3 linked regions of the Callithrix jacchus genome follow. The protein of the gene in region 2 interacts with the protein of the main gene of each other region in a biochemical or structural test. Links are inferred from orthologs where the notes say so. Each region holds a gene or a part of one and is shown on either strand. Other genes may lie near its edges.

Evidence for each region.
Region 1: of the proteins of WWP1 (region 2) and WBP2, one has a biochemical effect on the other in vitro, tested with the Homo sapiens proteins (2 studies listed by BioGRID, with this or other methods). The link is inferred for Callithrix jacchus from reciprocal best matches to the Homo sapiens genes WWP1 and WBP2.
Region 3: of the proteins of WWP1 (region 2) and KLF5, one has a biochemical effect on the other in vitro, tested with the Homo sapiens proteins (4 studies listed by BioGRID, with this or other methods). The link is inferred for Callithrix jacchus from reciprocal best matches to the Homo sapiens genes WWP1 and KLF5.

The regions. Positions count from the first base shown.
Region 1 is NC_133506.1:131,750,520-131,754,997, reverse strand, and holds the start of WBP2 (WW domain-binding protein 2), read left to right. Parts: upstream 1-1,395; 5' UTR 1,396-1,435; coding exon 1,436-1,494; exon of another isoform or gene 1,495-1,609; intron 1,610-4,103; coding exon 4,104-4,212; intron 4,213-4,478. UniProt on the Homo sapiens protein: Acts as a transcriptional coactivator of estrogen and progesterone receptors (ESR1 and PGR) upon hormone activation. In presence of estrogen, binds to ESR1-responsive promoters. Synergizes with YAP1 to enhance PGR activity.
Region 2 is NC_133517.1:40,734,595-40,739,123, forward strand, and holds the start of WWP1 (NEDD4-like E3 ubiquitin-protein ligase WWP1), read right to left. Parts: upstream 2,942-4,529; 5' UTR 2,773-2,941; intron 1-2,772. UniProt on the Homo sapiens protein: E3 ubiquitin-protein ligase which accepts ubiquitin from an E2 ubiquitin-conjugating enzyme in the form of a thioester and then directly transfers the ubiquitin to targeted substrates.
Region 3 is NC_133502.1:42,208,285-42,212,789, reverse strand, and holds the start of KLF5 (Krueppel-like factor 5), read left to right. Parts: upstream 1-1,556; 5' UTR 1,557-1,868; coding exon 1,869-2,129; intron 2,130-4,389; coding exon 4,390-4,505. UniProt on the Homo sapiens protein: Transcription factor that binds to GC box promoter elements. Activates the transcription of these genes.

The sequences.
Region 1 (4,478 bases), on a different chromosome or scaffold from region 2:
TATACAGTATACTATATTCATATTTATACAGCATTCTGTATACTATATTTATTCAGCATTCTGTGTTAATAACCTTTGACAATCTTTCCATATCAGGACACAGTCTGACTTCATTCTTTTTAAAGACTGCAGAGATTGCAGGCGCCAAAATACATCTAATCATTGGGGTAGGTCTCAGTATCACCATCCTTAATCCACTGTACTTGTCCTGCAAGGTCCAACCTAGTCTTGCAAGGGACCTCGCAGAAGGCTGCTGTTTCCTGATCTTTTCTAGTGAGGCAGTTTTGTTCCTTCACATAGGGAGACCTCCCTGGAAAGCGAAGTCAAGCAGGTGGATCGCGAGGTTGGCCCCAGCGGGTCAGGAAAGCAACTGTCTGCTGAAAAGCCAACTCTGATCCTTAAGATTAACGAGTAGCGGAACCACCACGTTGGGAGTGCAGCCCCCTCTTTCCGCCTCACGGATTCAGCTTGGAAGTGCGGGGGTTTGTGGGGGGCGGTTAGGGAATGATAGCTGCCCCGTGGAGGATGCCCAGGGCTGGGTCACGAGCTGGCATGAGTCAGCCCTATTCTGTAAGTCCTAGTTATGAGGCTGCCGGTCTCGCGCCGTGCCCAGTCCCACTCAGCCTTCAATCTTCCGGCCGGGCCCCCGCTGGGCGCCCTTGAGGGAACCGCGCCACCGCAAGGGCGGCGCGGAGGCTGCAAGGGGCGCCCGGCCGGCTCGTGAACGTGGTGGAATCCAGACGGGGCGCACCGATCTCCCCTCCCGTCGCGGGACTCTCCCTGCCCCCGGGCTCTGGGCTGGGATTGGTGAGACGGATGACGGGGTGATCGGACGCCGCCAGCCACCGCGTCCCCAAGAGCCGGGGCCTCGGGCTCAGCTAAAGGCCCCAGAGTCACACAAGCGCCCCATAAACGTCTGCTGAGTGAACGAAGGCGCCCCATCTATCAGAGGACTGCTCGGCGATCCCACAGCATGTCCAGGTCGCACTCGGCCGGCTAAACCTCCCGGACGCGGGAGCAGACCCCCAGGATTGCGCCCCTGCCAGAAGGCTGTTTACTTAGGTTCCGCTAAGGAGGCGGGGTGGGGATGGCACAAGCCGATTGGTTATGCAAATTATGGAGCCAATTCCGGTCTATGGTCCAGGAGACTACAAGTTCCAGAATAAATCCTTCCTCCAGCATAGGGAGAGGTCGAGGTTTCCGGAGAGTTGCCTGCTGGGAATTGTAGTCTTCATCTTGTTTGTTACGCAGGCGGAACGGGGGAAGGGAGAGGGAGTAAACTATTACCACGTGACGCTCGGGTCAGGTGGTTGGGCCAGCCTCCGCGCTGGAGCTGTGATTGGCTGACTCTAATAACAAGACGCCACTAGGGGCGGGCCTAAGACGAGCGCAAGCGCACTGCCTTGTGAGTCTCGGGACCCCTGTCGGAGAGACTATGGCGCTCAACAAGAATCACTCGGAGGGCGGTGGAGTGATCGTCAACAACACCGAAAGGTGAAAACACTGCGGAAGGATCCTGGAGGACCAAAGTTCCGGTGTCGAGGAAGTGGGCGGCGGGCGGCGGGCGGCGGGGAATAAGCCCCTGAAGAGGGAGCGCTGATGGAGTGAGGTTGGAGGGGAACGGCTGGGGGCGGGGTTGAAGGAAGGTGGGTGGGCCGTGGGGGGAGGGCCGGGAGATTGCTGTCAGCTGGGAATTGGGGGTGGGACGACCGGTGGGGCCTAGGGTGATTCTTGAAACCCCTTCCCAGAGTTGTGAGTTTAGTAGCTGGGAGGATCCCCAAACAAAAATAATTGTCATTTATTGAACGTCTACAACGTTACTACGTGTCAGACTCTGCGCCTTTTCTACCTTGTTTAATAAAAATTCTGTGCGGTACAATCTACTACTGTCCACATTTCACAGGTAGGTAAAGTGGGGCACAGAAAGGTTAAGTAACTTGCCCGAAATCACAACTCTGTAAGTAACAGAGATGGCAATTCCAGGAAAGGAGTCTTGACTCCAAAGTTAATAGGATTAACTACCATCATACAGGCTTCCAGTATGTTCCAGAACCGATCAGGTTCCAGGTAAGAAACTGAGGCCCCAGAGGTGAAATTAAACAGGTGACGTTGATCAGATGTCTGACAGTTCCTGGCACTGTGTGGGTCCGTAAAGTCAGTCCCTTGCCTCTTCTCTTGAATGCCTGTTGGTTTGAGTCACCCCTGAAGGCAGAGGTCTCCTAATTCAAGGTTCTTTCTACTCCGCCCTCCCCACCCCTTGCTCATTGCATTCTGTCTCTCCTCCAACCTCTGGGCTCCTCAAATGGCTTCTCTCTCCTTTTGTTCCTTGAGTATTGAAAATCAGACCGTTCTGTGATTCCATGGATAGAAAAGGAAAAAAAAAAGTAAAGAAAATCAAACCAGCCTGGGTTGAACTATGCCAACCCTGAAATACCTCTTGAAGGAGCTTAGGAGGCATCTGCATCCCCAAAGGGGACATCAGAGCCCTGTACCCAGCTAAGGCCAGCATCCAGGTGCCCTGTGAGTTGGGAATGTTTGATGAGTCAGAGGAAAATGCCTAGAGTGACCCAGACCACAGGATGCTCACTTTCCGTCCATTTTACCTGCTCAGAGTGTGATGGGCGCAGCCTGTTTCTGGTAATTCCTTCTTTTCTCTGAGAGGTACTTCTCTTTTTTTTAATACCAGTGGTTTCCCACTTACCCTTCCCCTATCAGAGAAAGTTGTGATATGTGGGGGGAGGCAGAAGACAAACAGAACTGTGTGAATCTTTTTATCCTGTAATCAGAGACACCTCACATTGGCTTGTTGCATCTCTGTGTGAGTCAGTTCCCAGGCCCAGCCAGTTTTTCATACCATTTGGCAACATCTCTAGGGACTGTTGTTCTTTCTGTCTCTGTGGAACTTTCTGAGACAAGACTATCCATCTTGCTGGGCCTTCTACCTGGCTTAGAGCTCAGTCTTGCTAAATAAGGCGTGCCTTGTTTTAGAAAGTGCTTCAGCCTCCTGTCTGAATAAGTTGTATCTATAACAATTGAAGTTTAAATCCAGCATTCAAATTTTGATAATTAGGCCCAGCATGGTGGCTCACACCTGTAATCCCATCACTTTGGGAGGCCAAGACAGGTGGATCACCTGAGGTCAGGAGTTTAAGACCAGCATGACCAACATGGTGAAACCCTGTTTCTATTAAATACAAAAAAGTTGGCCAGGCATGGTGCTGCATGCCTGTAATCCCAGCTACTTGGGAGGTGGAGGCAGGAAGATCTCTTGAACCCAGGAGGTGGAGGTTGCAGTGAGCTGAGATCGTGCCACTGCACTCCAGCCTGGGCGACAAGAGTGAAACTCCATCTCAAAATTAAAAAATTGATAAATAGTGAACTTTATTCTTCAAGTCGTGAACTCCTTTGAGAATGATGAAAACTGAACTCTCCTCCCAGAAAATGCACATGTGACGTACACGATCATCTCAAGGGCTTCATGGACAGACTTTCCGGCAGAACCAGCTAAAAACCCAGGTTTAAATGAACCCTGAAGGTGGTCCTATTGTGATGTGTACAGTTATCTCTTAGACGTGTTTATATATTAGGCTTGAAAAGCAAGCCAATAAAAACAACATCCATCACAAGGACTTAAAAGAAAATAGAAGAGTTAAGCCAGCTCTTCTAACCTGCTTAGGGGATGATGGCCTCTCCAGAGCCCTGCGGCTCTGCTACAATGGTGATCGTTTGGGGCTGTGCAAGCAGGCTTTGGGAAATTTTATAGAACCCCAACCTGCTCATTTCTTCCATGGCTAGAGTAATGGGTTTTTTTGTTTGTTTGTTTTTAGTTTTTGTTTTTTTGTAGAGATGGGGTCTCACCATGTTAGCCAGTCTGGCCTCAAACTCCTGGGCTCAGGCGATCCACCCGCCTCAGGTTCCTGAAGTGCTGGGATTACAGGTGTGAGCCCCTGTGCCTGGCCCTGTGATTGGTTTTAATGCAGCACTGTTGAGATGGTTACGAGAGCTGATGTGCTGGACAGCTGCTTGGGAGAAAGGCCCAGTGTCTGGGTGATACCACATCTCCATACTGTCTGACCAAGGCTTTTCCTCTTTTCTCACCACAGCATCCTGATGTCCTATGATCATGTGGAACTCACATTCAATGACATGAAGAACGTGCCAGAAGCCTTCAAAGGGACCAAGAAAGGCACCGTCTACCTTACCCCTTACCGGGTGAGTTACACAGCAGGGCAACTGCTTTAGAGGCTTGTTGCTGCTGTTGGAGGTAATGTGAGTCTTTGTTTCTTTCTTTTTTTTTGAGATGGAGTCTCGCTCTGCCACCCAGGCTGGAGTTCAGTGGCATCATCTCGGTTCACTGCAACCTCCACCTCCTGGGTTCATGCGATTCTCCTGCCTCAGCCTCCCAAGTAGGTGGGATTACAGGCATGCACCAGCCTGCCCTGCTAATTTTTGTATTTTTAGTAGAGATGGGTTTCGCC
Region 2 (4,529 bases):
AAGCTCCCAGTAGGCAGGGCACAGTGGCTTACACTGTAATCCTAGCACTTTGAGAGGCCAAGGCAGGCTGATCACTTGAGCTCAGGAGTTCAAAACCAGCCTGAGCAACGTAGTGACACCCCGTCTCTACAAAAAAATACAAAAATTAGCCAAGTGTGGTGGGAAGTGCCTGTGTTTGCAGCTACTCGAGAGACTGAGGCAGGAGAATCTCTTGAGCCTGGAAGGTGGGAGTTGCAATGAGCCTGGAAGGAGTGAAAGAAATTCTACCTCAGGAAAAAAAAAAAGCTCCAAGTAATTCTGAGATGGGTGCCATGGATGACCTTCAGATGGTCCACGGACTCTCCTAAAACTGTAGCCACAAAGCACAGGTACATATGGAAGTTTTCCAGGCCAGCAGATTTCTTAAGTTTCACCAAGAAGTAGTAATCCCCAAAAGGTTGTAAAGTAGCACACATATGCTGAGGGTAAAGCTTCATGATTTTGCTCAAAATGGTACCACGTTCTCCCAACCAACCTGGATCAGAATCTGTTACTTTTACTTTCTTCATTTGCCCTCTCATCAAATTTTGGCTATTCTACTTCCTTTCTTCCTTTCCATTCGCGTGCACCACACCTCAGACTACAACACTTGGGAGGTCTTTCTACCTCCACACGCTCCCTACCTCAACTCACACTACAGGCTGCTATCCCACTAATCCCTCTGAAACAAAGTGTTCAAATTGTTTTACTCCCAATTCAAAATCATCTGTGGAAGCCCCACCACCTAGTAAATCCAAGGTTCATAAGCCTGGCATTAAAAACAACCCATAAACTGTTCCAAATTTCTACTTCATGTTTTATCACCCTTTATCCAAATACAAATAACACTATGTTCCACCCAAACATAATTACTTGCCTCTCCCCAAACAGGAACTCTGTGCTCTCTTAGAGATCCCTCTCTGCTTGGATTACCTTTCCTGCCTATCCAAAGTCATAGTGATCCTTCAAAACCACGATTTCAGAAGCCAGAAGCTCTACGAACTAACCCTCTTATCCCTACCTTGCCAAGTAAGATCTGAGCTCTACTCTCTTTGAAGTTGACTTCTGAGAGGATTTTGGTACTGTTTACGAAACGTATATATTAAAAGACAAATAGGGCATTTGTTTATAGCACTATCTACCTAATTAGTGTAAAAGCAGAAACTGCTAATCAGTTCATTTTTGTATTCCCCAAAATATCCCCCACAATTATGCAGTAAATGCCTAACATCTGTACAAGGAAGTAAAGGAAATTTCAGCCACCATGGGGTAAACAGCAAAGATTACTATCTCTTTGAAGGCAGAGACTTTATCTGTGACATTCTCTATTAGGCCGACTTCCAAAAAACATAACTAGTAATTATTGCTTTTGAAAATCCTGATGTCATAGGTCTTACCAGCAGTTTTGCATTTTAAGGTAAGAACTATCTGAAAATGTTAATAAGCTAGGTCCCAAAGAACTATTTCACATACTTTACAATTTTCAATCTGAGTAGATCCAAACACTTGGCCATTATACTTTCCATTTTTAAAATATTAACTATTTATGAAAGATGATCATTTCTAGTCGCAGCTAATTTCCAACTTGATAGCTAAAAACAAGTCACACAATACAAGAACGACTTTCTTTGCTTGCATAATACACACAGATTTGGTGAGGCAGGATTTACACATACACATGAACTCTTGTAAAAAAATAAATAAATAAAACCTGCAGATAACTGTAAACCCATGTATTTCTGGCAAAATCACCAAACGGAGAAAACAAAGACAACTGTGGATATTATTTTTTTCCCCATTACTATTACCAGTAACATTTTAAAGCAGAAACACAAAATCTTGTTCCACATTAACCTACATACAAAAAAAAAACCAAAACTGTTAAACTTTTCAAATAGAAAAAGAAAGCAAAAGCCCCTGGAAAATATTTTACTGGAAGAGTGAATGTCAAAATTATAACAGATGCTACTCTTCTTTGGTAATGAAGGTTTCATATAATTACCAGAGCAAAGAAAACTCCAAATCCACAGAGCAGAGAAGACTGTGAACAAGACTGATCATTTAAAGGTCGTAAAGGTAAGGGGCAAACAAGAAAATGAAAAATTTTATAAAAGAAAACGAAGATGAAAGGTAAGTGTGTAAGTCACAGACAAGATAAGGACTGGTAAAAAGGACTGGTAAAATCTGCAAGGTCACCGGGACCTACCAGGTCACAAAAGGTAGAGGTGGGGGTTGCGCTGGGGGGGCAGGGAGGGGAGCTGCAGAGTCGGTGAAGAACCGGGAGTGACAAAAACACGTCAGAAAAAGGCATTCCAAGGCTGGAGTCCTTGGTTTGCAACATTGAAATTGGGGTGAAAACTCAGGGCACGGGCAATGAGTCCCTATATTTGTGTTCTGAGTGAGGTAGGAAAAGGTGAAGGAAACCGAAGAGAAGGCTGAGGAAGAACCGCGGCTGCAGAGTCACGGAAACATTTAGCTCCGCTCAGGATCACTGGCACAGGCCTGTGCCAGGGCCAACTCTGGGCAAGACCCGTGACCCCACCCCAGAAAACTCCCGGCTCCCGAGCTGGAGAAGGCGGAGAAGGCAGACAAGGCAGGGTGGACCGTCCTCTCACTGCCCCTTGGAGGGTCCCGCCCGCAGGCGGACGGCGCCGGGTGCCGGGCACCGCGGCCAAGGCTCGGGGCCCGCGCCCCCTCCCTCCCCGCCCGCCTCCCCAGTCCTGCGCCCCCAGCCCCGCGCCGCGCAGTCCTTACCCGGCGCGAAGCTGTCGGCTCCCGGCAGCCGGGCGGCCACGGCAGGGACACCTCCTCCTGCGGCGGGCGCCCTCACCCTTCCGCGCCCAAGATCGCCATCTCTTAGCAGGCGCGGCGGCGGCAGCCACCCAGGCGTCGGCCCCGGCAGCCCAGGCCGCCTCAGACACTCGGAACCCGCACGCCGAGCTCGCCGACACCCGACCCTCCCCCCACCCCCACCCCGGCCACGCGCCACCCCCAGGCGACCCCACACCTCCCTTCCTCGGGAGCGCGCTGCGTGGCAGCGTCGCCGGCGCCGCGCCCCGAGCGCGCGCCTCCCCGCCGGCCCCGGCACCGCGCGCGACGCCGCGACAGCCCAAAGCCTCCAACTCCGGACCCGGAATCGGCCTCCCCCGAGCATGCGCAGCGAGGGCGCTCGGAGGCTGCCTTAGAAAACTCCGCTCCTCCGGGTCCTGAGAGCGGTCGAGCAAATGGGAGGGACAGCCAATAGCAGGGAGGGGCGGGGCCTGAACCTGTGGAAGGGGCGGGGCCGCCGCTGAGATTTGGGAAGAGGCTGTTCTAAGACCGCGCTGGGCACTGAGAACACGACTTTCCGGTAGGCGGCCGATCCCAGAGCAAGACTTCTTAAGGTCCTGGGGCAAAAGTAGGCTGTTCATAACTACTCCCTGACCTAGCTGAGGGTTTGACTTAGAACCCATTGCAAGAGTAAATAACTGCATTTATCCATGGTCATACCCGAAGACTTGCAGTCCATTATTTATTAATCAAAACCTTCATTCCCCTGCCCTCACTCACATCAGCCCAGTGATAAAGCTAATACTTCCTGAGCAAGTACACGTGTTGGCACAATTAACCCATACAGCAATCCCATAAAGTAGCGTCTACTGTCTCCATTATACAGAAAAGTCAACTGGTTTAGGAAGTGCTGTTGGTTATGTGTAGCTTTTAGAAGAAAGGCTAATGTGCAAATAGAAGTCAGTGGAACCGCATTACTTAACAGATGATCCGGTTTTCTACTTCAGAGAAGCAGAAGCCTTCAGGCATGGATTTCTACAATTTTTCCCCAATCAACTCCCCCATAGATTATCCCTACGTCCACACTTGTTTTCCTTCTGTCTGGGAGGCTAGATGTCCCTGCCCACACCACTGCCTGCTCTCCACTGAGAGCAGTCCTTTGGCACTTTTTTTTTTTTTTTTGACAGAGTTTCACTCCGTCACCAGGCTGAAGTGCAGTGGAGCGATCTCCGCTCACTGCAACCTCTGCCTCCTAGGTTCAAGCAATTATTCTTCCTCAGCCTCCCAAGTAGGTGGGACTACAGGTTTGCACCACCACGCCTATCTAATTTTTGTATTTTTAGTAAGACGGGGTTTCACCATGTTGACCAGAATGGTCTCCATCTCTTGACCTCGTGACCCACCCGCCTCGACCTCCAAAAGTTCTGGGATTACAGGTGTGAGCCACCGCACCTGGCCTCCTTGGCACATCTTTAACTTCGCCCTCTCCACTGCCTACAACTACTCAGCATAATCACGTTTTAAAACTAGGTCCTAAATTTTCCCTTGATTTTTAAACCTCTAGTTCTCTCGGTCCTTCCATTTTAACTGAGTTTATTGAAAGAACTGAGTGCCAAAAACAGTGCCAACACTCCATGAGTGTGTATAGGATTCGATAAATCTCTTGACTGAACAATCCACATTCCTGCCTACTATGCATTAGTTCTTGCCCTCTGGCTTCACACTTGAATTTGGTGCACATT
Region 3 (4,505 bases), on a different chromosome or scaffold from region 2:
TGAAAGTAGTCATCAGCCAGTCCCTGAAAGCAGCGATCACAGCTATAAAAATGAATCAGGTATCAACAGGAAGAGAAGGAAAAGGAGAAAAACCTAGTTTACAGCAAAATTTTATAATTTTTTAAAATAAATACACTTCTTTATGTGCATGTTAATTTTCTACTCATTGAAAATGAGATCCATACCTTTGACAGATACACTCTTTGAAGTGAATGTTTTTTCAAATACTTTTGTTTTTTCAACAAGCTGTTTTACTCTGAAGTGATGAGTCGGCTGTTGTATATGTAAAACTGTCTAATGGTATACTGTGCTGTCAACATCTGTACATTTGTAGTAATATTACAGGCATTTTTATTGCAGTTTATTGTTCCGGACTCCCAATAAGCCAGATAAAATCATGTACAAGAACATTAAGGATTAAGGGAAGTGGTTTCCTTAGGTGATTGCTGGCAAAAATTCACCCTCCCATTATAACAACATAGTAAATGGATGGTAATATATTTGGCTATTACTTTCCAACAAATTTGGATTCCTAGTTTTCAGAGCTGCTCTGTGTCTATGTTTGTGGCTTTTTGGTTGTCTCTTCGCAGGAAAAGGTGCCACAATATGAAGTAAATGTGCGAGGTTTCTGTTTTGTAAATATTAAAGTCCATTTTTTGAACATACAGTGCTAGTAAAAATAAGTCAAAGATGTAATGTCTATTTAAATACACATTTGAGCTAGTCATGCTTAAATTAGATTCCATGCTTCGGCTAGAATCAACATAATTAAATATTAGAAACTTCAAAATTCATATGGCCCAAGCTCTCCTCTCCACACACAGATAGAAGGTAGCAATGTGTGGGGAAAACGTCTAGCAATTAAAATCCTAAAAGAAGGGGGAAAACGCAGGCTTTTATGCAAGGACTTGAAAAAACGCTTGCCATCGAATCTTTTATTCAGGCATTCTGAATTTGCTTTGTTAAATGGATACACTCACTGCTAAAGATACAGAGAGACAAGAGCTGTTTTAAATTTGTTTATCACACCGCCCCTAGTTTTCTGCTAAAGAGAAGTACATTTTGGATATTTAAAAGTACACACTCATCAGACAAGTCTCTAAAAGCCTCAGCGCCCCCACCTAGCTGCCTTCTGGGTTTCAGCTTTTGAGTTTCAGGTCCTTGCACAACACCTAAGACGTGCAATACTCTTTCTCCCTAATCCTGGCAGAGAACAGTGCGAAGAGATCTCCCTCCGCGTCTCCACCCAAATTCCCCCTCTTCCCAGATTCCACCCGCTCCGCTACTTCCCTCCGCCCCCGGCTCCGCCAGCCCAATCTGTCAGAGAAGTTGTGTACAAACTGCGCGGCGGCCCTGCGCGCGAAGCTCGTGGCCGGAGAGGGGTGCGGTCGGGCCGGTGGAGGCGGGGCCCCGGCTGCCTCTCTCCCTTTCATAGGCTGGTCGCTTCTGCCTGGCCGGCCTCGGAGCCTCAGGATTCGTGGCGGCACTGCCAATCAGGCGAGCGGGCCCCGCCCTCCTGGAGTTGGGTGAAATAGAGGCGGGCGTCAAGTGTCAGTAGTCGCGGGGCAGGTACGCACGCTTGTAGCTCTGTAGGCGGTGGCGGGAGCGGGCTCCGGAGAGCTTGAGAGCGCGGTGGGGCGGGGCGGGAGAAAGTGACCGCCCGGAGGACGTTGGGGTTTACGTGTGGCAGCGGAAGAGTTTTGCTTTTGGTGCGCGCCTTCGAAAACTGCCTGCCGCTGACTGAGGGGTCCGCCCGAAACCTCCCCTCCTCCGCCCGCAGTCCAGCGCCGAGCTCGCTGGCCTGAGCCAGCGTGGGCGAGGTGGGAAGTGCGCCCGACCCGCGCCCGGAGCCGCGCCCCCGAGTGCCCATGGCTACGCGGGTGCTGAGCATGAGCGCCCGCCTGGGACCCGTGCCCCAGCCGCCGGCGCCACAGGACGAGCCCGTGTTCGCGCAGCTCAAGCCAGTGCTGGGCGCCGCGAACCCGGCCCGCGACGCGGCGCTCTTCCCCGGCGAGGAGCTGAAGCACCCACACCACCGCCCGCCGGCGCAGCCCGCGCCCCCACAGGCCCCACAGCCGGCCCAGCAGCCCGCAGCCGGTCCGCGGCTGCCTCCCGAGGAGCTGGTCCAGGTAGGAAGAGCCGCTCCCCTCCCAGCGCTGCACTCCCGGGCTCGGGCGTGTCCCGCCGCTGCGACGGGCAGGCGACAGGGGCCGCTCCAAGCTGGGGCGTGCGTCGGGGCGCACCGGAGCCGGTGCTGGGGAGGCAGACACCCCCCACCCCCCCCCCCCGCCTGGCCGGGGCCCCGCGTTTCGCGGAGATTAAATGGGAGTCCGGGCCAGGGAGAATATGCCCCGGCGGGTCGTCCTGGGAGAGATCAAAGGGAGGAGAACTGGGTGCTCACGCGCACCTTAGTTGTTTTTCTTATACTTGAGGGATGAAACCTTGTACCTTACGCTCAGTTTTACTTAAATTACGCCTTCGACTTTACCGCTCTCCAATGCCAAGGAATTGGAGCACCCCCCCACACACACCCCCATCGTCTCGGGTTAAGTAGAAACGCAAATTGGGGTGCTGTGGAGAGGTTCCCCAAGGTTTCATACCCTGTGGCTAAACCTGCTTTTAGAAGAGATTGCGGGCCGCGTTTGGAAAATGAGGGGGAAATGAGGGGAAAGCTAAGGTGTTGGAGCGCTTATTTTTCCTTAAAAAAAATACCGGGGAGTTGTTTTCTTCGTGTGCGCGTAAATTTCCTCCCGGGGCCGCGTTGAAAGCTGGCAGTTGGCTTTTACACTTGCCTAGCAGCCGAATTAGAGCCACCGCCTGTTTCTTTCGCCCACGCAGGGAGTCATATAGCCCAGAAAAAACTTCCCAGGACTTTTAGCCTGTCCCAAGGAAAAAAAAATTGGAAACATACCCACATGCAAACAGCTGGAAGAGCTAAAATCAGAAACCACTAACCGCCGCGGGAGCGCAGTGCACGAAAGGGTTTAGTTCAGTTTATTTCAAGACACTTCATTTAGTAGCCCTTTGGCGTATCGTGTATTTGCTACCCAGCGCCTACTCAGTGGGGTCTGCCAGGGTCCTGCTGTGAGGGGGCAGTGGCGTTCGTCAGAGATGTGACTCACATGATGAGAGCGTTAATTTTTATTTTTAAATGGTGTCTATCCGGGAAACCCCGTCCGTATCCACACCAAGGTCCGAGATTAAACGCTCTTGAAATGAAGTAGTAACAGAAAATGACTGTCTTATTTACCGATTAAGGTGCCACAGCTAATAGTTCTTCTATGCGCCGTTCCATCTAGTTGGTTTTCGTATCTTTTGAAATTTCCTTTTCAGTGTTAAAAAATGTAAGTTTAAGTTATACTAGGAGAGAAGATAGCTGGAAAAGGGTTGAGATGACTTGTTACAAGCTGCTTCATAGCCTAGAAAAGAGATCTCTGTTTGAAAAGTATTTGGTTATTTCTGTTTGTGTCAATTTTCTGCTCTGGAGGCACTAAGAAGATAAGGGATGACTGAGCTTTTTACAGAGTAGGGGGGAATGTAGCGTTGGCCCACTGAGGAGGACATGATAAATGTTTTGCTGATGACTGTGCTAGGGATACAGCAGCCTCCCCACCCACTAGCAGCACTCTACCAAGGGAGTGATTTTCCCCTAGGTAATTAAAGATCTGTTTTAGATAGGGATATGAATAGGAACATTTCATTGTCATATTAACCAATTACAGGATCTGCTGATTAAAATCAACATTTAGATCAAATACTGAATGTGAAATTGTTTTGTCTCAGTGGATACAAGGTTTTGCTTAGAATATTGTATTTAATTTCCCATTGAACTGTAAACAAGAAAAGACTGAAATAGCCAAATAATTTTTTTTTAGTATTTGATACTTTGGAAGTATCTAGCCAAGCAAAGAAACCTTTGCAATAATTTAAAGATTTGCACTTTCTCTTTTTTAAGAAAAACTTTTTAATGTTTATGACTTAAACAGAATTGAAGCAGTTTGGCAACGTTTCAATACTGTACTGTACTCTAATTGCAAACTTAACTGTGTAATGGGGCAGGGAATCCTGCTTGTACAGGGGTGATACCTTGTTATTGCATCAGAAAGGAATGTTTTCAGTTTGCTTTCTTTTTTTTCTTGATTTGCGTCTTTCACTTCTGAGGTGATTGAGGGAGCAGTTTTACCAGTTACACAGAGTTTCATAAGGTTTTGGTCAACCAATTATATTACATAATTGATTAAATAAGCCTGATATGTTTTTAAGCAACACGGAGAAGTTTGCCCTAATACCTCACACAGGGATTGGGAGAATTTTAATAGGCGCCGATTGTCCTTCCTGAGACTGTGCATCAGGTGGATTATGCATGTTTGTATCTCTTCTCTTTTTTAGACAAGATGTGAAATGGAGAAGTATCTGACACCTCAGCTTCCTCCAGTTCCTATAATTCCAGAGCATAAAAAGTATAGACGAGACAGTGCCTCAGTCGTAGACCAGTTCTTCACTGA